Linked DNA regions of Macaca fascicularis. The protein of the gene in region 2 purifies or fractionates together with the protein of the main gene of each other region. This does not show direct contact. Links are inferred from orthologs where the notes say so. Each region holds a gene or a part of one and is shown on either strand. Other genes may lie near its edges.

The links.
Region 1: the proteins of RPRD1B (region 2) and POLR2G purify together in Homo sapiens (affinity purification with mass spectrometry; 3 studies listed by BioGRID and IntAct, counting the BioPlex papers as one, with this or other methods). This does not show direct contact. The link is inferred for Macaca fascicularis from reciprocal best matches to the Homo sapiens genes RPRD1B and POLR2G.
Region 3: the proteins of RPRD1B (region 2) and PDRG1 purify together in Homo sapiens (affinity purification with mass spectrometry; 3 studies listed by BioGRID and IntAct, with this or other methods). This does not show direct contact. The link is inferred for Macaca fascicularis from reciprocal best matches to the Homo sapiens genes RPRD1B and PDRG1.
Region 4: the proteins of RPRD1B (region 2) and RPRD2 purify together in Homo sapiens (affinity purification with mass spectrometry; 4 studies listed by BioGRID and IntAct, counting the BioPlex papers as one, with this or other methods). This does not show direct contact. The link is inferred for Macaca fascicularis from reciprocal best matches to the Homo sapiens genes RPRD1B and RPRD2.
Region 5: the proteins of RPRD1B (region 2) and POLR2M purify together in Homo sapiens (affinity purification with mass spectrometry; 3 studies listed by BioGRID and IntAct, counting the BioPlex papers as one, with this or other methods). This does not show direct contact. The link is inferred for Macaca fascicularis from reciprocal best matches to the Homo sapiens genes RPRD1B and POLR2M.
Region 6: the proteins of RPRD1B (region 2) and GPN1 purify together in Homo sapiens (affinity purification with mass spectrometry; 3 studies listed by BioGRID and IntAct, counting the BioPlex papers as one, with this or other methods). This does not show direct contact. The link is inferred for Macaca fascicularis from reciprocal best matches to the Homo sapiens genes RPRD1B and GPN1.

What each region holds. Positions count from the first base shown.
Region 1 is NC_088388.1:11,288,832-11,291,634, forward strand, and holds the end of POLR2G (DNA-directed RNA polymerase II subunit RPB7), read right to left. Parts: intron 2,009-2,803; coding exon 1,958-2,008; intron 1,852-1,957; coding exon 1,786-1,851; intron 1,539-1,785; coding exon 1,467-1,538; intron 972-1,466; coding exon 938-971; intron 718-937; coding exon 704-717; 3' UTR 501-703; downstream 1-500. UniProt on the Homo sapiens protein: Core component of RNA polymerase II (Pol II), a DNA-dependent RNA polymerase which synthesizes mRNA precursors and many functional non-coding RNAs using the four ribonucleoside triphosphates as substrates.
Region 2 is NC_088384.1:94,152,385-94,156,568, forward strand, and holds the start of RPRD1B (regulation of nuclear pre-mRNA domain-containing protein 1B), read left to right. Parts: upstream 1-1,384; 5' UTR 1,385-1,587; coding exon 1,588-1,738; intron 1,739-4,184. UniProt on the Homo sapiens protein: Interacts with phosphorylated C-terminal heptapeptide repeat domain (CTD) of the largest RNA polymerase II subunit POLR2A, and participates in dephosphorylation of the CTD by RPAP2. Transcriptional regulator which enhances expression of CCND1.
Region 3 is NC_088384.1:88,038,866-88,043,151, forward strand, and holds the start of PDRG1 (p53 and DNA damage-regulated protein 1), read right to left. Parts: upstream 2,801-4,286; 5' UTR 2,726-2,800; coding exon 2,639-2,725; intron 779-2,638; coding exon 703-778; intron 1-702. UniProt on the Homo sapiens protein: May play a role in chaperone-mediated protein folding.
Region 4 is NC_088375.1:110,894,860-110,898,974, forward strand, and holds the start of RPRD2 (regulation of nuclear pre-mRNA domain-containing protein 2), read right to left. Parts: upstream 2,801-4,115; 5' UTR 2,768-2,800; coding exon 2,563-2,767; intron 1-2,562.
Region 5 is NC_088381.1:34,165,849-34,169,985, forward strand, and holds the start of POLR2M (protein GRINL1A), read left to right. Parts: upstream 1-1,337; 5' UTR 1,338-1,466; coding exon 1,467-1,579; intron 1,580-3,338; coding exon 3,339-3,986; intron 3,987-4,137.
Region 6 is NC_088387.1:94,592,648-94,596,147, reverse strand, and holds part of GPN1 (GPN-loop GTPase 1), read left to right. Parts: intron 1-1,337; coding exon 1,338-1,377; intron 1,378-2,135; exon of another isoform or gene 2,136-2,264; intron 2,265-2,523; coding exon 2,524-2,614; intron 2,615-3,500. UniProt on the Homo sapiens protein: Small GTPase required for proper nuclear import of RNA polymerase II (RNAPII). May act at an RNAP assembly step prior to nuclear import.

The DNA.
Region 1 (2,803 bases), on a different chromosome or scaffold from region 2:
TCCTGTAGGTATTTCATACATTTTTGTACCCTAACTAGATTCTGAGCCCTTTTACATCTTCAGTTCAGTGTAGTATAGTGATACACTGTTGTTTATATACCCATCTTAGGAAGGGCTGTGTTGAGATCCTATAGCCTGTGTCATTACTAGCCTCTTGTTCATCTCTCCCTGTCTGCTGTCTCCTCTCCCTTCTTTCCCAGTTATGCTCTTGGTTACTTTTAAGGGCAGGAGAAGAGCAAACACTCTGGAACTATATCAGTACTCAGAATGCCGCTAATGATTGTATCATTTGCTGGAAGCCAAAGACCCAACATCAGAGCCTTGACTTCAATGAGGTCACCTTTAAACCTGGACAAATGGGTTAGTCAGCTCCCCTGGGTGGCTGAGGATAGCAGACGCATCAGTATAAGAAAGAGGGGCTAGTAAGCAGACAACTCCACAGCCTCCTTAAAGAGTTATTGTTACTGCCAAAAAAAAAAAAAAAGAGGATAACACTTCCATGAGAACCAAGGACTTTTTATACTTAGAACACATACTGAAAAATCAGGAGGCAGTAGCTAAGCTAAAAGAAGCACCAGATGCCTTCTGGAATGAGTTGCCTTCCTTGCCTCCACAACAGCAGCCAGACTGGACCTCTGGACAACACGGTAAGTGTGACAATCACACTTCCTACATCAGGACCAAGGGTAGGAAGCCACTAGGCTCAGCTTACAAGCCCTGTGAAACCAGAAAAAGTGCATCAGTTAGACCCAGAATTTGGGGGCAGCCACAACCATGTACTTCTCATCCCAAGGAACGTGTCCTGGATCTTTCAACCAGACAGCGTGAAAGTTTCTTCTGTCTCTCTCTCATTTGGGCATTAAATCCTGTATTACTCCCCACCCCTACACAACCCTTCTCCAGGCAATAACCCCAGCCCATATGATCAGGCACTCACCCAAGTAATCGTCCATCAGGGAGCCAATAGCAAACTGCAGGAAAGATGGTAAAAAGAAAGTGAAGGCCGGGCGCGGTGGCTCAAGCCTGTAATCCCAGCACTTTGGGAGGCCCAGACGGGCGGATCACGAGGTCAGGAGATCGAGACCATCCTGGCTAATACGGTGAAACCCCGTCTCTACTAAAAATACAAAAAACTAGCCGGGCGAGGTGGTGGGCGCCTGTAGTCCCAGCTACTCGGGAGGAGAATGGCGTAAACCCGGGAGGCGGAGCTTGCAGTGAGCTGAGATCCGGCCACTGCACTCCAGCCTGGGCGACAAAGCGAGACTCCGTCTCAAAAAAAAAAAAAAAAAAAAGAAAGTGAAGCCAAGATGAGCACAGAACCAACCTCTACCCCGCAGCCCCAGGCCTTCTGCCCATCCATCCCTTCTTCCTGACAGAAGAGCATAGAACCCCCTGAAACTAGGTGGCAAGAAATCCAACAGCTCTCCGCTCAGCCTGGTATAGGTAGAGGTGGGGAAAAGACTCACAATGTCATTCTTGTCCACACGGGTCCCCACAATCTTTAAGCGGATCTCATCGTCCTGCTGAATCACAATATCCTGGGGAGAGGAGGGAACAGTGTACAGATGCTCCTCAGTTTATGAGAGGTTACATCACAACTACTTCACTGTAAGCCCGGGGGCATATTGAATGCACATCACTTTCGCATCATCGTAAAGTCATAAAATCATGAATCAAGCCATGGTAATTCAGGGACCATCTGTGCTCGGCCATCCTCAGGCCAATATTCTCCCTCAGGATGACTGATTCTCTCTTCCTCTTCCTGACTTCTTTCTGTCCACTTACCTCATCCATTGTCTTGTAACATGGTGGGTTGGAGTTAGGATCAAACTCCATCTCTGAAGGGATGGACTGAAAGGAAAGTGAGATTAGGGTAGCACTTTAAAAGGATGCTTCAGTAGATGGTAATGAATGGGTATCTCTCTTCCTCAGCCCCACCCAGTGTGCCTAGACTTACATGTCGAGAGATGAAGCAAGACATGGGTCCAATTTCTGTGAAGAGTCCAACCTAGAAAAAAATGAGTGATCTTATGGTCATGCACGGTGGCTTATGCCTATAATCCCAGCACTTTGGGGGGCCGAGGCGGGTGGATCATGAGGTCACAAGTTCAAGACCAGCCTGACCAACATGGTGAAACCTTGTCTCTGCTAAAAATACAAAAATTAGCTGGGTGTGGTAGCGCACCTGTAATCCCAGCTACTCAAGAGACTGAGGCAGGAGAATCGTTTGAACCCGGGAGGCGGAGGTTGCAGTGAGCCAGATCTCGCCATTGTACTCCAGCCTGGCAACAGAGCAAGACTCCGTCTCAAAAAAAAAAAAAGAGTGATCTTGCTTTTCTTTGTCCCCTCAAGTGTTGTGTTTTTGTTTTTTGCTTTCTAAATTTTGAGACAGGTTCTCACTGTTGCCCAGGTTGGAAAGCAGTGGTGTAATCACAGCTCACTGTACCTTTGAATTCCTGGGCTCAAGCAATCCTCCCACCTCAGCCTTCCAAGTAGCTGAGACCACAGGTGCACACCACCATGCTAGGCTAATTTTTTAAAACTTTTTGTAGAGACAGAGTCTTGCTATGTTGCCCAGGCTGGTCTCAAACTCCTAGGCTCAAGCAATCTTCCCACTTCTGCCTCCCAAAGCACTGGGATTATAGGTGTAAGCCAGCACACCCAGCCCTCTTCTCTTTTTTTTTAAGCTTTCATTTGTATTTATTTATGTATTTATTTTGAGACAGAATCTCGCTCTGTTGTTCACTCTGGAGTGCAGTGGTGCAATTTCAACTCACTGCAACCTCCACCTCCCACGTTCAAG
Region 2 (4,184 bases):
TGCAATAAGAGCAAAAGCAGGTATCAATTAGAAGAACGTCTCCTAAACTACAGTCTGCCCACAACTAGGAAGTTATACCACGATCACGAAATTTTAAAACTCTCTTACGTCTATAACTTAACTCCCTACCATCACCCCTGTGGCAGTAAGAAAGATATTTCTCTCCTGCTTTGATAACTGGGATTTAAACACTCAAAAAAAAAAGGGTCAAGGTTTAGAGTCTCACAGAGTGTTTTGTTTTGTTTCAGACAAGAGTCTTGCTCCGTCGCCCAGGCTGGAGTACAGTGGCACGACCACAGCTCACTGTAACCTCTAACTCCTGGGCTCAAGGGATCCTCTCGCGTAGCTGGAACTACAGGTGAGCGTCACCATGCCTGGCTAATTTTCGCTATGTTACCCAGGATGGTCTTGAACCCCAGTCCTCAAGCTATCCTCTCGCCTCGGCCTCCCAAAGGGTTGGGATTACAAGCAAGAGCCATTGCGCCAGGCCTCAAATAGCGTGTCTTAACATGAGGTCAGCAGACACATTGGGAAGGGTAAGTTAGTTCCCTCCACCTTTTCCCTAAAGTTAACACCTCACTTAAGTTCGAAAAAGTCAACTGGACCCCCAGAAGGCAAGAGCAGCATGTAATAACACCCTGAGAACCCACTTAAGAGCTGAGAGCCCAAATGTGTTTCATGACGGCGCTGTTACAGACTAAAAGGTCAGAATCGGACATTAAAGGGTGCTCCGGAAGGCTGAGTAGGAGCTCACCAGGTGAGAAAGGGGATGTCACTTTCGGAGAGAGAACGAGCGCCAGGGCCTGGAGGCATGAAAAGGGCACGTGGGTGGCTTGGAAGAACCAAAACTAAGTGTTTTTGGGGACAGCCAGAGAACCGAACACGTACGGAGGAAAGGTGCGGCCTGGGGCCCGCCAGATTAGAAAGGAAACCCCCCTCCCATACCCATATCATGATCTCTCAGCCTCAGTGTCCCCTCAGGATACCCCTCTACGGGGTCCCAGCTGTTGGGCTCCCTCTGGTTCCCGCCACTCTTCCCTTACCTCGTCTTCCAGCCTTTCCCTCACTCTCCCGCCTCCTCTGCCTCGCCGGAAGTGACGCGCTAAGTAGCGCGCCGTACCGCGCCAGAAAGGTTCCGAGGGAGCGGGAAAAAGGGTTCCGGCGAGATCCACTGCGCAGGCGTGCGGGCTTGAGCGGTCAAGGCCCTTTCCGGGGGCCGGGGGAACTACGTTCCTTCCCTCGCTCTGTCTCCTTCGAAGTCGTCTGCGCGAGGTTCAGACAGGCCGTCGCCTTCAAAGGGACGGTTTTCTAGAGCTCCGACGCCTCTCGGTGCCCAGCTGCTCTGGCCCTTGCCCTTTGACCCCGCTCTCGCGGTAGGGTGAGAGGTCGGGTGGCCATCTTGTGGCGGCGGCGCGGGCGGCTGTTACTGCGGAGACCCATCCCCTCCCCCTCCTTGCCCCCCTGGCCGTCTGTCAGTCGGTAAAAAGTCCCGCAGCCTGTCAGGTGAGGTCCCGGCCTCGTGCCGTCGCTCTTCCCGCCGCACTGGGCGGCCCAGGCCGCTCCCTGCCGGGCCTCACTGCCGCCACCATGTCCTCCTTCTCTGAGTCGGCGCTGGAGAAGAAGCTCTCGGAGCTGAGCAACTCTCAGCAGAGCGTGCAGACCCTGTCCCTTTGGCTCATCCACCACCGCAAGCACGCGGGACCCATCGTCTCCGTGTGGCACCGCGAGCTCCGCAAAGGTAAACACCAACTCCCCACCCCTTGGACGGTCCCCGGGTTGTCCTCTCGCCCACCCACACGTTAGGCCCTTCTAAGCCTCTTCATTGAGCCTTGCTTTCCAGGCCTGATCGAGCTTCTGAGATGGGAGACAAGGTTAGCCCCATTTCTCGAAGAAGGAAACTGAGGTCCGGGAAGGTTTAAGGTACTTGTCTGAGGTTCCACGGACTGGGACTCAGGTGTCCAGACTTAGAGTTCATCAAGCCATTTTCCCTTCAGTTTCCGCCTGACATCTGTGGCTGTTATTATCTCGGCTGCATTCAGCGCCGCACTGGCCCTAGCACGTCAGGCCCAGTGCTGGGTATTTGGAGTAAAAGCCAGTGGGCTCCGGAGTTAGACTCCGCAGATCGAGTGCTGGCTGGCTCAGCGACTTGCCAGCTGAATAATAGTGGGAGAGTTTCTTCATCTCCCTGTGTCTCTGTTTTCTCATCTGTAAGAGGGAGGCAAGGATAGCTACCCCCTACAAAGCCTTTACTCCATACCAGTCACTATCCTAAGACCTTTGTATATATATCCTCACACTCAGTCCTTAGAACAGCCCTGTGAAGTAGATAGTCTTTCCCGTCTTAGGTTAAGGAGCCACCCGACCCAGACCTTACCTCTCCTCTCCTCTCATGCAGCTGTCATTGATTTCAGGGCCTGCTCAGGTTCTGACAGACATTCATTGAACTCAGTCTGTTATGTGCCAGGCACTGGCTTGGACACTTATAGCGTGTTGCCTCTGCCAACTGCCTAGAATTTAAGTCTGACTTTGCCGCCTTACTGACCCCAGCAACTTAACCTGTCTGTCCCTTCATTTTCTTATCTACAGAATGGATAATCGATACTTACTATGTCTTTATTACATGCGAAGTGCAGTACTGATATCTTTACATACATTGCCATCAAAAAAAATTATTGAAGCCCTATAAAGTAGGAACTTTGCAGAAGAGGAAAAATTGAGACTCATCTCGTGGTGAGAAGTAAACAGGATAATCCAAATGAACATTTAGCACGGGGTCAGGCACATTGTAGGCATTCAACAGATTATGGTGAGATGAGACTTTTGATTACTCACTCACTGTGAGGCATGGTCTTTGCCTTCAAGTTGCTTACGGTCTGGTGGGGAAAGATGGGCACCTGCACTCCCTGATGAGTTTCATAATGGAAGACTGAAGAAATGAAGCTCCGAGCTGCTCCGGACACCCTATATGTGGTAGGCCTTTATAGCAAAGGAAGTGGCTTTACAAGTATTCTCTGCTATCGGTGAGTTGAGGACACCACAGATGTCCTGCTCTACAGGCGAGGAAACTGAAGTGGCTAAGTGGTATTTTCAAGGGTTTTGAACTGTTGAGGCTCAGACTACATCAGGCTGGCAAACACCAAAATCCATGATTTTTTTTAGAAGACCCAGTTCTAGCCCTTTAGCAGGGACCCTCCAAGTATTGCATACTGTACTAAGATAGGGATCCCCGCAGCCTTTCGGGCAGTTGCGGGGAGAGGTAGAGCCTGGAGTTTATGGGGCCTTCTTCATGTACCCCAGTGTGCCATTCAGAAATTATTTGTAGAGTCTGCTGAGATGTGAATTGCCACTGTATAGAATTCTATTGGGTGGGACCTCAAAAGGCAGTTAAAGTCCGTCTCAAGTGAATGTACGGGGTCTCGCTCTGTTGCCCGTGCTGGAGTGCAGTGGCACAATCTCGGCTCACTGCGAGCTCCGCCTCCCGGGTTCACGCTATTCTCCTGCCTCAGCCTGCCCAGTAGCTGGGACTATAGATGCCCGCCACCACGCCCGGCTAATTTTTTATATTTTTAGTAGACACGGGGTTTCACCGTGTTAGCCAAGATGGTCTCCATCTCCTGACCTCGTGATCCTCCCGCCTGGGCCTCCCAAAGTGCTGGTGTTACAGGCGTGAGCCACCGCGCGCAGCCAGGTGTCACTTCTTTCGTGACTCTTTCTTGATTCTTCACCTCACGCTAGTTGAGTTACTGAAAAAAAGCAAATTAGAGAGTACATTTGAGTATGAAGCTCCGTTATCCCTAATCTTATATGGTAGAGCCTTATGTTGCAAGTAGGCCAGCATTATTATCCTCATTTTATAGATGAGATGATAAAGGTATAGAGAGATTAAATGCCTTGTCCAGAGACATATAGCTAGGACATGAGCCCAGGGCTGCCTGATGCCAAAATGTGTTCTTTTTCAAGTACTCTGTGTCTCGGTGCATTTAATAAGTGAAGGTGGTCACCTGACCCCAACCAAACTGTAGTGCTTTCATTTATTAGAATTAATGAGTGCCTTCCACCCGTCATACCAGTTTAGCATTTGATTTGTTCCTACTAGCTGTTCATTTGAACTGGTTACATCTTTGTCATTAGATTATGTTTTGAGGGAGAAACTAGACCTTCTTGTTTATTTGTAACACCACAAG
Region 3 (4,286 bases), about 6.1 Mb from region 2:
AGGAGACCAGTGTGGATGGAGTCATGGGGGGCGGGGCAGGGGCAGAGATGATATTGGCACACTCATGGATTCACGGGGGCTGGATTACTCAGTCTTGCAGGACCTCTGGATTTTACTCAGATGAGATGAGAAGCAACTGGAAGATTCTCCACATTCTAGTGCACTTTCAACAAAATGTAAACTTCCTCCCTTATCCCCCAAGACCTTTCATTATGGCCTGGTCTCTGCCCCTCTCTCCAGCCATACTTACTCCCCATCTGCTTCCTCTGCCACAGCCACTCGGCCTCATCTAAAGGGTTCCCATTCTTCCAGATATATATTCTCAACACCCACCCCAAGTCCAATTCCATCTTTGGCTTTCTTACAACTTTCAATTACACATTTTACGTTGTTTTCCTCATCTGTAAAGCACAAGGGCAGGAACCATCAGTTTCATACATCCCCAACACTCTCTCAGTGTCTGCCATTGTTGCTAAGCCAGGAGCTAACAACCAGTCACTGAAGTGAGCAGGCAAAATCCTGAACCACAGTTTGTGCCAGAACTGCAAAATTTGCTCCCCCATCTCCTCAGACTGTTTCAATTTCCCACAAGGCTGTTATACAGCTGTGACCTCCTGCCTGATCTCTATCAGGGACAAGGTAAAGGCCTTAAAGGAAAATGGAACAGGCCTCCAGGGCTGCACTGAGAAAATTTCAACTTACCAGAGAGGCTGAGATCCTTCTGCAGGGCCCTCAGGCCCTCTCGATTCTGATTCCTTTTAGTGTCCAGGTCCACAATCTGAAAACCACAGGGACAGGAGGGAACTCAGCTATCTCTTGCCCCAAGCTGTCACCTCTTGACAGACAACAGCTGCAGAGACAATGAATTATTCCTGGTTACATCCAATGTCCTGCCTAAAATGGATTGATGTGTGAATGTATTTCTTCTCACTCAGCTTCCTGGTCTGAAAGACAATGCTGTGTGCAGCTGCCCTCTGCCCAGAGAAGATGCTGGGAAAACATGTGCTGACTAAACGGGAAATTCTGCATTATCCACTCGAACTTTAGGGCATGTCAGAATCACCGGGGGAGTGGAAACCCTTCCCCTACACACTGTGATTAAGCAGGCCTAATGTTTATTTTTGGACAAACTTCTCCAGCTGATTGTGAACTAGTAATATGAGAAACCCAACAGTACTAGATTGGAACAGCAGGATTGGGGGCACTGAGACAGTGGTAACAACACAATAGCTACTAAGGAAGTGAAGCAGTAGTACAGTATACTGCACGAGAGTGCTGGTTCTGGAGCTGGAATACCCAAGTTCGAATCCTGCTGTCTGCCTCAAGCTGTGTAATTTCACCTTCCTATTTACTCCTCCTCAAAATGGAGCTACAAACAGTACCTACCTCACAGGTTATTGAGCCAGCAATTAAATGACTTAACACAGTACCTGGCACATAGTAAGTAGCTGATAAACTTTATTTATTTATTTATTTTTACTTTTTTTTATTTTTTTTGAGACGGAGTCTCGCTCTTTTGTCTAGGCTGGAGTGCAGTGGCGCAATCTCGGCTCACTGCAAGCTCCGCCTCCCGGGTTCATGCCATTCTCCTGTCTCAGCCTCCCGGGTAGCTGGGACTACAGGCGCCCGCCACCACGTCCGGCTAATTTTTTGTATTGTTAGTACAGACAGGGTTTCACCGTGTTAGCCAGGATGGTCCTGATCTCCTGACTTCGTGATCCGCCCGTCTCGGCCTTTCAAAGCGCTGGGATTACAGGCGTGAGCCACCGCGCCAGGCCTGCTGATAAACTTTAAGTGCTCTTATTATTCTCATCCAGCACACCCTGATCCAGTATTTAATTTGACAGATTCTTGCCCAAGTTTTCCCCTTCTCAGTAAATACCTGACCCTTCTAACTGGAGATGAGAGGGAGTCACGACTCCCGTGGCTCCCTCACCCATTTACACAGCCACTATCACGGCCTACTGAGTCTGTCTCCAAAATACATTTCTGACCCCTTCACTTCTCTCCACCACCACTACCTAGTCCAAATCCATCTCTGGTCTGAACCATAGCAATGGCCCCTCACCCGTCTCCCTGCCTTCACCCTTGCCCGCCTATATTCTGTATTCCACACAGCAGCCGGGGGATCCTTTTAAAACCTAAATCCAATTACGTCACCCTCCTTCCCCAAGGAACTCCCTTCTAAAGCTTGGCACTTAAATTAGAGCCTGACCCAAACCCCCTACAAGGCACCCCATAAACAGGGCGCCACCTTCCCCCAGGTCCCCACCCCCTCCCAGTCACAAGGCCCCCTCAGGCCTCTTTTCGGTTCTAGCTCTCCCCGAGGGCCTTTACAGGGCGGTGCCCCCAGATCAACCATGGGGCCGGGAAGTGCATTTTGAAACAGGTGCTCAGGAAACCGCCCAGAGCATGATGGGTCGAGATCCAGAGAGCATGGCAAGGGGCAGAGAAAAGATGAAGAGCGAGGAATGACCAGCACAGCGCAGGCGCTCGCTTAGTAGCGGCCGAATATTAATTGGCCCACGTCTGTCGCCTCGGAGCCGTTAACCGCCTGTCCGGGTCAACTCTCCGCGACCCCGCGGGCTTTCCGACGGCGCCGGCCGCCAGGCCCCAGCGCCGCGGACGGGCCTCTCACCTGCCGCTTGTCCGCCAGCACCTCCTCGGCGAGCTCCTCCACCTCTACCAGGTACCGCAGCACTCGCTCCGCCTCGGGCGATAGCATACCGCCCACCAACTCCTCCTGCGGCTGTCGTGCGACCCCGGGGGTCTCCGTTTCGACTCCCGCTGCGCATGCGCCGCTCTCAAGGGGCTTCCGGCGCGCCTGCGCAGTTAAAAGAACGGTGGTGCGCAGGCTCCAACGCTCGTGCGCCAGCCGGCTGCGAGAGGCGGGGCCTAGCTTTGGGGGCGGGGCTGGAGCGCCCTCTGCAGGCTCAGAGAGTTCAGTCCGTGGGTTGTCTCTGAACTCCTCGGTTCACACTTCTTGAGCGCTTACTATGTGCCAACCAGTTTTAGGTGCTTAGGATGCAGCAGTGAGCACAACAAAATCCTTGCCTTCATGGAACTTCATTCCAGTGGGAAACACCGACAATTAATGGCAGGTAGTGATCAGGACCTGGGAAATATGATTCTTCCCCTGGCTAAGAAACACCAAGAAGGCCCATGTGGCAGTGTGACTTATGTTTAATCTCTGACACTTTCAGTTTCTAATTTATAAAAAGGGGATGAATAAAAATCCGCCTCAGTGTCTCTCCACAGAATCGGAAGGAAGTAGGAATCGGCTGGGCGCAGTGGCTCATGCCTGTAATCCCACTTTGGAAGGCCAAAGCCCGGGGGGATCACTTGAGCCCAGGAGTTAGAGACCAGCTTGGCCAGCACAGTAAAACCTCCGTTTCCACTAAAAATAAAAAATAAAATTAAAAAAAATTAGCTGGGTGCGGTGGGGCGCGCCTGTTGGTCCCAGCTACTCAGGAGGCTGAGGTGGGAGGAGCACCTGCACCTGGGGAGTGGAGGCTGCAGTGAGCTCTGATGGCACCACTGCACTCCAGCAGTAATCACTTTATCACTTTTAATTCCATTTAACCAGAGTTCACTTGAGCCCCTGTGTTGGACCCAATGCCCAAAGTAACTGGCCTATACATAAGGAACAGACTTGAAAACTATGGGCAGTAAGCAATGAAATGGTAGCTCAGAAAAGCAAACGGGTGTGGGTTGTAGGATTGGTAGGACTTCCCAGAGGAGGCAGGAAGATGGAAAATGGTTACCATCAGAACCAGAGAGTTCCCACGAGGTCTTCATGCCCAAACTCCTCATTGGATAGCTGGAAAAAAAACGGAACTCAGAGAGAGGTAAGGCTTTGAAAAGAAGGTGAGGGGTGAGCCATGTGGATGCCTAGGAGAAGAGTGTTCCAGGCAGAGGGAACAGCCAGTGTATGTGGAACAGAATGGGCAGGGGGAAGCAGGCAGGAGGTCAGAGGGGAAGGAGGCATTGAGCCCACAGGGCTGTAAAAGGCGCTGGGAAAGGACTTTGAAAGTCTAAAGAGCAGAACTGGTATTATCACTCTGATCTTTTGCCTCTCTGACTCCAGCTTCTTCTTCTCTCCTTTTGACCTCTTGTAACCCCTCACACCCCTTGCCTTACTTGAGTGTCAAAGCAACCTTTGTATGGATGGGATTATTACTGCCCCATTTCACAGCTGCAGACTGAGGCCATGAGAAACGCAGTGCCTCATCACACAGCAAGCCAGGAGTGCCTGGTGTCCATGCCATTTCTGGACCCTGAAAAAA
Region 4 (4,115 bases), on a different chromosome or scaffold from region 2:
AAAAAAGATAAGCAAAGTGGCATCAGGAAAATGAACAGAAAGGCTGGGAATGACAAAGATACCTACTTCACAATTTTTCCTAAAGCTGACTTAGAAACCAAACTCAAACTAAACTAAGTATAACTGTAAAGAAATAACTTAAATGAAAACAAGGCCCATGCATAAACTGTTTTCATTGCGCCCCACACCATTCTGCTGAATATTTCTCTCAAAACACTTTATTTACAGTGAGATCAATGAAGTTCATTAAATGTAAATACAAAATGACTAAAATTACCCTTAATCATTTTAGAAAGTTAAATTCCATTCCGCTAGAAAAACAACATCAATGTATGATGTTGTTTTAGCCAAAAGCACTTAACTATATAAACTACACACAATGCACTTCAACTGACACACTGCCCTCCTGGAGCATTCATTTTTTCACTCTTAAGATATCAACAAAGGAAATAAGCTCAGGCACAATAGCAACAACAGCTGAGGTAAAAAATTCTGGCTTCATTATATCTCATTATTGCTGACTAGAAAAAAAACTGTAATTGTCACTGGTGATCCCACACAGCAGAGACAGGACGGGGACCAACTTATTCTTGCAAATGATGTAACCATACAGTTAAAGCCCCAGAGCCCAAGGTGAGGAAATGTAAAATGCTTGTATAGTTTAGTAAAAATGTTTTAAAATAGGGTGGAGAATAGGTTCTCTCACTCACATTAGAACTGCTTGCAATATATCACTGGTGTACCAAGTACATTAAACATTATTTTACAAAGTTAATGCTGAAGTCAAACCCTAACCCCACCATTTTACTGAGTAACCTTAAGCAACTTAATTTCTGAGTCTTAGTTTCCTCGTTTGTAAATCAGTGATTAAAAAATCTACTTCTCAGACGATTTTAAGGTACAATGAGATGGCTGGGCACATAGCAGATACTTAACATGTGAGTCTTCGATGATGACTGTTAGCATATTTGATGTTTTTGCACGTTATAATTTTATCTCTGGGCAAGAAAACTATTTGATCTGTTATTGGTAAACACAGGTAATTCTGTCTTGTATCTACTAATTTCTCTGCATTATTATTCAAAGAACCACAAAACATCCCTCTCAAAACTTTAAACACAAATAGTTTGAAGCATGGGGCCTATAATTTTGCAAACTTTATCTATCTGTTCTCTAAAAGGTAAACAAATCAAAACACTACAGGAGCAATGGCAAAAGTGAAATAAGGCAGAATAACTGGATGATGGGTCTCACTGGTGAAATGCCGCAGGCAGGAAGCAAAGAAAAATTCTAATAGATATATATGGAGTAAGAGTTAACCCTCTCTTCTCAGCAGGAAACAGTGACTTCTCCACACTTCCTCCTGTAAGATTTGAAACCTTCTGCAAACAATCCATGCTTTAACAGAGCTCATTTCTGTAGTAAAGCAGCAAAATGGAAAAATCTCCAGGATAAAGACAAAAAAGGCATAACTGAAGAAAAAGGTACTACATATTCAAAAAGCACATTTCCTTTTGTGATTACCCATGAGATCAACTCAATTGTATAAAAAGGTATTTCAGGTAATTAAAAAGTAACGGGGCCGGGCACGGGGGAGCTCACGCCTGTAATCCCCGCACTTTGGGAGGCCGAGGCAGGTGGATCACCTGAGGTCGGGAGTTCGAGAACAGCCTAGCCAACATGAAACCCTGTCTCTACTAAAAATACAAAAAATTAGCCGGACATGGTGGCGGGCGCCTGTAATCCCGGCTACTCGCGAGGCCGAGACAGGAGAATCGCTTGAACCCGGGAGGCGGAGGTTGCAGTGAGCCGAGATCGCGCCACTGCACTCCAGACTGGGCGACAAGAGCAAAACTCCGTCTCAAAAAAAAAAATAATAATAACTGGACACGATTTATATTTTAAGGTATTAATGATGATACTGACTATGACTACAGTATCGCAGTTGTTTCTGGTCAGTATACAAGAAACCTGTATTATATTGCAGCAAACACAGGTACAGGTAAAACCCGGTGGTGCCTCAGATCTATGCAGAGCTCATGCTGCTTCTTAACATTCATCCAGGTAAGGCTCTCCTTACTACACATCACAAGTTTTAGATACATTCATCCAGACAAGGCACTCCGTATTAAACATCACTGGATTTACTACTGCTTAAAACCACAGCTTGCCTACCATCAGGAAAGCCAGAAATCACTAACACGTCAAGGCCTGTAAGAAATAAACAGACGCTACAATTTCCGCGAAGGTTCGGAAAAATCAATACACCTTACAAGGTTCTGAAATATTAAAAATATATATACGTAAATCTCTATGGATCTGGGCCCAACGGCCCAAGGTCACAACAATTCAATAGCTAAAAAACCCAAGAAATGAGTCTCCTGCAATTCAAGACAATCCTGGCTAGGAATGGAGTCTGGGTTTGGGAACACTAGGGTCAAACCTTTAATGTGAACAATCCCAACCAAACGCTGAGGCTCCGTGGGAAAACCCCAGGCGTTTCGGGCCACACTTCCTTCCATTTCCCCAGTCTTCCCTTCCCTAGTCACCCCCAACACTCACATCTCCGGAGCCACTTCATCCAGTGGTAGACGATAGTACTGTGGTGTTTTTTGTTCTCTATACACCAAGACGACAAGCCTTGAATGGATTCCATGGTGTTGGTTACCGACTGGAATTTTCGATCCAACGAGGACTCCAGAGCCCCTGCCGAAGAGGCCGACGAGGAGGAGGCCTTACTGCTGCCTCCGCCGCCGCCGGCCGCCATCTTCCCGGTTTGCACAAGCGCTGCTGCTCCTCTGGCGGCGGCGGCGGCGGCGGCGGCGGCGGCGGGAGCGGGCAAAACAATCACTGCGAGTGCGTGAAAGCCGTAGGTGGGGAGGGAGGCTAGGGGGTGGGGATGGTGCACGCGCTGGGCTCTTCTGGAGGTACGGACGGGAACACCAGCTGCTGGGCACGCTGGCAGCTCCTACACGCTGCAAGGAGGGGCTGCGGGTCTCAGAGGTTTTTATCAATATTGTTCAAGGGGTCGTGTTTAAACCAGTCAGTAATCACGGAAAAATTACGCAGAAAACAGGACCTGCAGAACCTTTCAAACCGCCTGACGCCGAAACTAATGGTTTTATACTTTTCGGCTCTCAGTGCTAAGGCCCTTCCCCGCCCCTATCCCCACACTCCTGTGAGCCAGGTCAGGGGTTAATATCTTAAATTTAATACTACCCGACTGCCCCTTCAGTTGCAGAAATCTTTCTCTCCTTTAGACTGGCTAGCACAGAAAAGGTCCAAGGCTACCTAGTCAGGATTTTTTTTTGCAACGCAATAGCAGCACAGGGGCAGCAACAGTATCGCGCACGCGCCGCTTAGCCCCACCCCCCCATCCCTGCTTCCTTCTCAACCTTGAAAGCAGAGGGAGGTGTGATGGCGCGGCAATCTGACCAATCAGGAGTGCAGAACCAGAAGCGCGCGCAGGAGCTCTGAAGCCCCCAGGACCCAGGAGGCGCTACGATTATTTGTGCGCCTGCGCAGAAGATGAGCGTGTAGCTGGATGGAAGGAAAAACTAAGAGGGATGGGTGAGGAAGCTGGTCTAAGGTTAGACGGGGGGTGGGGGGGTTCCACCGCTCCGCCCCGCTTTTTGCTGCTTTGGTCGCTCTCTTGGGTGTGTTCAGCTCACACAAGAGAGACAGAAAATTCCCACCACTGAGCCCACTGTTAGTCTTTGGCGGCTGCAGCCATCGCCCCCAACTCCTCGGGGAAGCAACGCGCGACAAAATGGCTGGCAGCCATCTTGCAGCACCACAAAAGATGCGCATGCGCCAGCTCCAGTGAGCCATTCACTACGCAGACTCCGAGACCAAACCGTATTTCTCGCTTCCCTTGGAAGATAACATTCACAGCCGCTTGACCATTTAGGTTAGAGGAAAAGGAAATAAATGAAGAAGTGAAAGGAAATTTTCCTCATAAAATTTTTCGAAGCGAAAACAGAATGGGAAGATGTGACCTCATTTTCGCCAGCTATGACACAATCTTAAAATTGCATAATACATTATAGTTTGCAAGAGTCTTTACGTAACTATTATATGAACCTTATAGGAACCATTTTATCGCATGTACCTAT
Region 5 (4,137 bases), on a different chromosome or scaffold from region 2:
CTTATACAGAGAAAACTTATTTTGATATACTAATGAATCTGATCTGAATGGACTAGATTGGGGGGATAAAAAAATGGTTGCAATTGTGCTCCCTGGAATAGCTTTGGAGTTTACCTAGATCTTCTGTCTCTTTGGGATGGAGCTGCTTGTGTTAATATAGCATCTTACATAGGATTGAGACAACTTCAATTTCCTATATAAAAAAATCGGGGGAGGGCAGTAGTTTTGGAGGTTATGGGGGTGTTCAAACCTCCCAAGTGATATCTGCTGTGACTGCATGTCTTCCTACTGTTTCCATTGGGATGCATCTCTGGTAGGTGAACTATAACAAGAAACTAAAAGCTGTGTCCAATACTTACTAAACTGTCTTCTTCTCAACAGCTGGGGGAAAGAAAAAAAAAAGTCTTTTCAACAATTTTGCACATTTGGAGATAGGCCTAAAGTGAAGAAGGGAATTTTCAAATTGGTGTGTTGGAAAAGCCGCTGGGCTTTTGGGTTTGAAATCTGGTGCTGTCACTTACTGGTTTTGTGCCCTGGGAATATTTATTTCAGTTTTCATGACTCTTTTTCTACAGGCAAAGTAGAAAATTATAAAAGGTCCTCAACCAGTTTGTACAGCTGCTCCCACTCCCTCATCACCTCTTGTGGGCCTTTGGAAATGTATGTTGGGGGAGACATTTTGGATTTTTGCAATTACTTGGGAGTGCCATGGCACCTAGCAGGCAGAAGCCAGAAACACCAAATGTCTTAACAATGCCTGAGGCAGTGCCACAAATGAAGTCCTGCTCCAAATGCAATGAGCCCCGAAAAGAATTGCTGATTCTAAGGAACCTTCCAACTTTAACATTTCAGGACGTCCCTAAGCTGAGCTAGGAGGCACCACACACAGGCCGGAGTCTCCCAAATCCTGTCCCGCACTCTCCTCTACCTTATTAACGGCCAACTCATCTTTCAGGTTTCGACTTGTATTTCACTTCTCAGAGATACCTTCCCAGGTGCCCACCCCAACGTCACTATTATATTATTATTTGATTCTCCGTCCCTCCGTCCCCCGCGCCAACTCTGTAAACCCCAACTATAACAGAGGACGTGGCTCTTTGTTGACTAACACATAGTGCTTGGTGAGGTCACGCTGGCGCCAAATACTTTTTGTATAAACCTATGAACAGCTGACAACCGGATGAACGCTCACACGAGGGGAAAGGGCGCCAAACCCAGGCGCCGGCGTCCTCCGACGTAATTTCCGTCCTTTAGCGCTCCTCCGGACGCCCCCTTCTCCCGGTCCGTGTTTGTTTCCGGCATTTCAATAAAGCTCGATTCGGCTCGAGGAAGACCCCGTTCTTCCGGGAAAATGGCGACTCCCGCTCGAGCCCCGGAGTCACTGCAGTCCGCGGATCCGGCGCTAGCAGCGGGGCCTGCCGAGGAAGCCGAGTGCCCGCCGCCGCGCCAGCCTCAGCCTGTGCAGAATGTCCTCGCTGCCCCGCGGCTTCGAGCCCCAAGCTCTCGAGGACTTGGGGCAGCGGAGTTTGGTGGAGCTGCGGGAAATGTTGAAGCGCCAGGAGAGACTTTTGCGCAACGAGTAAGCTGGGGTCCCGCGGAGTCTCCGCCAGGCTCCTTCAGCTCGAGCTCCCTGGGCGCTCCCCTCCCCTCCCCCACTCTGTTTCCTTCCCTGGAAGGTGACCTTGCCTCAGTCACATTCGCCTCAGTCCTACGGGCGAGTGGACGGAGGGCTTGCTGTCGCAGAGCCGTGCCTCTTCCTGGCCAGGCACGTAGGCCTGCGAGGATGGCTCGGACTGAACGGCTACTTATTGTTGCAGGCAGTTAGTAGCCCCTCGTTGGTTTTATTTGCCCGGGGACTGTGTTAGTTCCATGAAGCAAGAGTCTTCATTCTAAACCCTTTTGTCGCCCGCACCCCTAACCCATAACAAATTGTCAGCTTCGTCTCTGGATTCTACGCTTACAGGAACCGTAGGAAATGGGAAGAGTGGGATATGAAGAGGCGTTTATTAGGCCGGGAAAGTTCAACCCCCAGTCAGCTGGTTGATTTAACGGATTTTAGCAAGGGAGCCACGTGATAAAAGTGATTTTGTTTTTCAGGCAGCTTTGTTTAGCAGCTTGTTGCAAAAGATGGTTTGAAGGAATAAAAAGCGGGAGACAGTAGATGGCTATTTTCAGAGAGGCTCCCCACGAGACAGTTGTAAGAAAGTGAACTAGGAAGGGATTGGGAGAACTTTTAGGCATAGAGTCATTTAAATGTAGTTGACAGAGATGGCTGAGTTTTCCAATTTGTATGGAAGACCACTAGCAAAAATAGGAATATTCAGGGAGAGGAATAGATCCGTGGTTGATTTTACGTAGGGTGTTCAGAGTTGAGGGGAGAGCGGGACAGACATTTGACTAATTGAAAACCAAACACTTAAAAGCTGGAGAAGTTGTCATTAGGCTCAAGAAAGAGAGAACTCTGGAAAAATATAGAAAACATAGGAATTTCAGCTGTAGAGTGTTGTTAATAGTTGAAATAGTGGGAATGAATGTAGTGTCAAAAAGAACAAAGGACCTAAGATTTTTCTCTCCATTTATTGTATAATTAAAGAAAAGAGAATCAAAAAAGGAACTCTGTCATCTAGCAAAAGGGACAAATAAATAATTGATTGGGATCAAGGCAGGTGTTTTTACCTTGTGAGAATAGGTTTTTAATCTGTAGTAGTGAATTAACTTTTTGGTCTCAGGACTCCTTTATACTTTAAGATTTTTTGACATCCCAAAGAACTATTTTATGTGTTCTGTCTAGTGAAGTTTATTTACTTATCAGAAATACAGCTGAAGTCTTTAAAACATAAGCATACACAAGCACACATTCTATTCTAGAACAATGATGTCATCATATGTCATGTAGCCACTGGAAAACTCCGCCGTACCCATGTGAGAAAATGAGAGGGAAATAACATCTTAGTATTATTATGAAAGTAGTTTTAAAATAATAGGCCCATCCCCACACTCCACCCCATCCCCAAATTGTGGGGATTGCACTTTAATGACTGCTGGTTCTTAGAATGTCTTATGTGATTATTACATGCTTAAAATACTTTTGCCGAAATTCTAATTTGCTGAGACAAATGAGGCATATATTCCCTATTCCAGCATTCCCTTGTTTTTTTGTGCTGTTTGGATAATGACCGTTTTATTTGTTTTATTCCTGTTTTGGGGCAGTTAGAAATCAGATATTTGACTTAAAAATCAGCTTTTCTTTCTTTGAAGATAATGCTTTGCCTTTTTAATGTTATATGTCAAGTTAAAAACATGGCTGTAATGTGTATGTATTCTTTTCCATTTGACAGAAAATTCATTTGCAAATTGCCCGACAAAGGTAAAAAGATCTTTGACTCTGTTGCCAAACTGAAAGCTGCTGTTGCAGAACATGAAGAAGTTAGAAGAAAAAGTGAACTGTTTCACCCTGTTAGTTTAGACTGTAAGCTAAGGCAAAAAGCAATTGCAGAAGTTGATGTGGGTACAGATAAGGCCCAGAATTCTGACCCGATACTTGATACTTCATCACTAGTTCCTGGGTGTTCCTCTGTAGATAATATCAAGTCATCTAAAACAACCTCACAAAACCAGGGACTTGGACATCCTACTCATGAAGGTGATGGAGAGACTCCAGAGGTTGAGTACACAGTGATTAAGGGCCCAGCTTCCAGCAACAGAGACAGGGTACCGTCTTCATCTGAAGCTAGTGAGCATCACCCGCAGCGTCGTGTTTCAAGTCAAGCAGAAGATACTTCCAGCAGCTTTGACAACCTGTTTATTGACAGGTTACAGAGGATCACTATTGCAGACCAAGGTGAACAACAGTCAGAAGAAAACGCAAGTACTAAGAACTTGACAGACCTTTCTAGTGGGACTCAGAAGAAGCCTCATTACATGGAAGTGCTAGAAATGCGAGCCAAAAATCCAGTGCCCCAGCTGCATAAATTTAAAACCAATGTGTAAGTACCATCGGAAACAGGCCTATAACAGGAACATGATATTTGTTAAACTCAAAAAGTTAAGAGAAACTGGGTGTCGTGGTGCTTGCCTGTAGTCCTAGGCTACTCAGGAGGCTGAGGTGGGAAGACAGCTTGAGTCCAGGAGTTGTAG
Region 6 (3,500 bases), on a different chromosome or scaffold from region 2:
ATGGATATATTATATTTGCCTTGCATATCTATTGAATCAGATCACACGTAGGGGTAACAAGTTCCCTTTAACTTTTTTTTTTTTAATGGAAGTATAAATCTTCATTGTATTGAGTGATTAAGAGCAGGGATCATCAGACTTTTCTGTAAAGAGCTAAATAATAGATATCTCAGGCTTTGTGGACCATACAGTCTCTGTTGCAACTGCTGAAGTCTGCCATTGTAGGACAAAAGCGTCCTTAGACAATTCGTAAATGAATGGGCGTGGGTTACAGTAAAACATCATTTATGAAAACAGGCAGTAGGCTGGATTTGGCACTAAGGTTGTTGTGAAGACTGAGAAAACATGTATACAGCACTTATCACAATTGCTGACATATAGTAAGCATATTTTATAATAAATGTTATAACTTGTCATTGTTAATACTGGAATTCCATTTAACTAAAGGAAAGTGGAGTCAGAGTCCTGTACACTTTCCTTAGGCCTGTGGCACGATAGCCGGCTTATTAGCGTGTGTCTTTGGCTTCATATTTTGCAAGATCCTAACAACCATGTTTTGGTTTTCAGACACGTTATTTTGATTTTGATTCATTAGACACAGGGGTATTATCAAAACCTTAGGGGCCGGGCGCGGTGGCTCAAGCCTGTAATCCCAGCACTTTGGGAGGCCGAGACGGGCGGATCACGAGGTCAGGAGATCGAGACCATCCTGGCTAACACGGTGAAACCCCGTCTCTACTAAAAATACAAAAAACTAGCCGGGCGAGGTGGCGGCGCCTGTAGTCCCAGCTACTCCGGAGGCTGAGGCAGGAGAATGGCGCAAACCCGGGAGGCGGAGCTTGCAGTGAGCTGAGATCCGGCCACTGCACTCCAGCCCGGGCTACAGAGCAAGACTCCGTCTCAAAAAAAAAAAAAAAAAAAAAAAAAAAAAAACCTTAGGATAGACTCTTCTCTGTATCCTTTCACTGTTGGTGTTCAAGTAAAGCACATAATTGTATGTTGCATATCCTGAGCTCAACAGGCTTATCTTTTACTTATCTCAGCCTTTTATCTCAAATGAATGATGAGTTCATCAGTCATGTTCTCACCAGTATTAATCTTTCCAGCCCAGCAGTCAGGATTGTGTCTCCTGGTTCCAAGGTGGGAGCGGGCACCTTGGCTTTTAATTCCATTGGGTAGACTCTATCAGTGACTAAGATTTGTTACATCTGATGTTGAATGAAGTCAGATATTTTATTATTGTCAGAGTCTTAGGAAAACAGAGGACATAAGGGATGTGGAGAGTAAGTAGGATAGATGATTAAGCAAAGGAATTTAGAAAGTGTTTCTCTTTACAGGGAGTATCGTCCTGAATATGAACGTCTGAAAAAATCACTGGTAAGAAGGGAGGCTGTTTGTATATTTTAGAAGGGCCATTAAAAAAACCCAGCTCAATCCTGATGACATAAGTGCTTTTGTTTTGGTTATTAATGTATCTTTTATTTAACTAAAAAAGTTTTTTGTAGCTTTATTGAGGTACAATTGACTAATGAAATTTCAGTGTATCTTCTAAATACTTGTTAATTTAAATTTGTACATTTGTATGTATGTTGTCTGGGTGCAGAAAGGCTCCTTAATGTTTCTTCCCTCTCAGAGGTCAATTTAAAACTAGTTGTAGAATTTTGTATAGAGTATGGTGGTGATTCACAACTCCTTTTTTCGTTGTTGAGAAAGGGTCTCACTCTGTCACCCAGGCCAGAGTGCAGTGGCATGATCACGGCTCACTGCAGCCTCAACCTTTTGAAAGGCTTAAGCAATCCTCCCATCTCAGCCACCCGAGTAGCTAGGACAACATGTATATACCACATGCCTGGCTAATTTTATTTTGTAAATTTTTGTACAGACAAGGTCTCACTATGTTTTCCAGGCTGGTCTCAAATTCCTGAGCTCCTGCGATCCTCCCTGCTGGGCCTCCTGTAGTACTAGGATTACAGGCTGAGCCACCATGCCCAGCCTTCTCTTATCCCAAATGATTGAGTGTCCTGCTTCCATAGGCTCATTGGATCCCTTGTCTTTGAGCCTTCCTGCTATGTCTACTTCAGGTTTTTGTGTTTTTTTCCCATATAATAAATTTTATTATATCTTTTGTTTTTTCATTTTGTAGGCTGGGGATGAATAAAAAGAGTAATGCTTTCTATCTAGGCATTTTGCCTAACCAGTTGAAATGTTCCAGTTTAATTAACAGAGCAGGAGATCCACCCTGGACTGAACTCAACACTTTGGAATTGAGGGTTCTTTTGAAATCTTTTTGTGTTCAGTTTCTGAATCCTTTAAATCAGTCTGCAGAGCTCTCTAGTCTGAACTTCTGCTGTAACCCAGGTCCACGCTACTTAGTGTTTCTGTCCCTATACCGGACGTCCCTTATCTGCATCAGTTTTTATGTAGCCTCTAGTATTTGTATAATTCTTCGTCTCCACTGAGAAGTCTGGCATCTAATTTGGGACTCCTTTTTGAATATGATGACATTTTTCTCTATATATACAGGCCAGTGCAGAGAGCCAACAGCAGAGAGAACAACTGGAACGCCTTCGAAAAGATATGGGTTCTGTAGCCTTGGATGCAGGGACTGCCAAAGGTATTGGAGGGTTTCTTGGTGTTAGGAACTAAAAAAAGGTTACACTTACTTATTTCTTTTTTTTTTTTTTTTGAGACCGAGTTTCGCTCTTGTTGCCCAGGCTGGAGTCTCAGCTCACCGCAACCTCTGCTTCCCAGGTTCGAGTGATTCTCCTGCCTCAGCCTTACTGAGTAGCTGGGATTACAGGCATGCGCCGCCACCCCTGGCTAATTTTGTATTTTTTTTTTTTTTGAGACGGAGTCTCGCTCTGTGGCCCAGGCTGGAGTGCAGTGGCTGGATCTCAGCTCACTGCAAGCTCCGCCTCCCGGGTTCGAGCTATTCTCCTGCCTCAGCCTCCCGAGTAGCTGGGACTACAGGCGCCCGCCACCTCGCCCAGCTAGTTTTTTGTATTTTTTAGTAGAGACTGGATTTCACCGTGTTAGCCAGGATGGTCTTGATCTCCTGACCTCGTGATCCACCCGTTTCGGCCTCCCAAAGTGCTGGGATTACAGGCTTGAGCCACCGCGCGCGGCCCCTAATTTTGTATTTTTAGTAGAGATGGGGTTTTTCCATGTTGATCAGGCTGGTCTCAAACTCACAACCTCAGATGATCTGCCCACCTGGGCCTCCCAAAGTGCTGGGATTACAGGCATGAGCCACCACGCCTGGCCGGTTACACTTATTTCTACTCAGCAGAATTCTATTTATATATGAGAGAGATAAAGAGAAAAAGATAAAGGAAATGTGGTTATATATATACACACACACATACACACATACACACACATATATACACACACAACACACGCATATGCTTACATATATTAAAAAATAAAGGATTTGGAAAGGCAAACAACTGGAAATTATATATAGCTGTATCACTTTGGATTCCTCTTTCAGGAAGTTT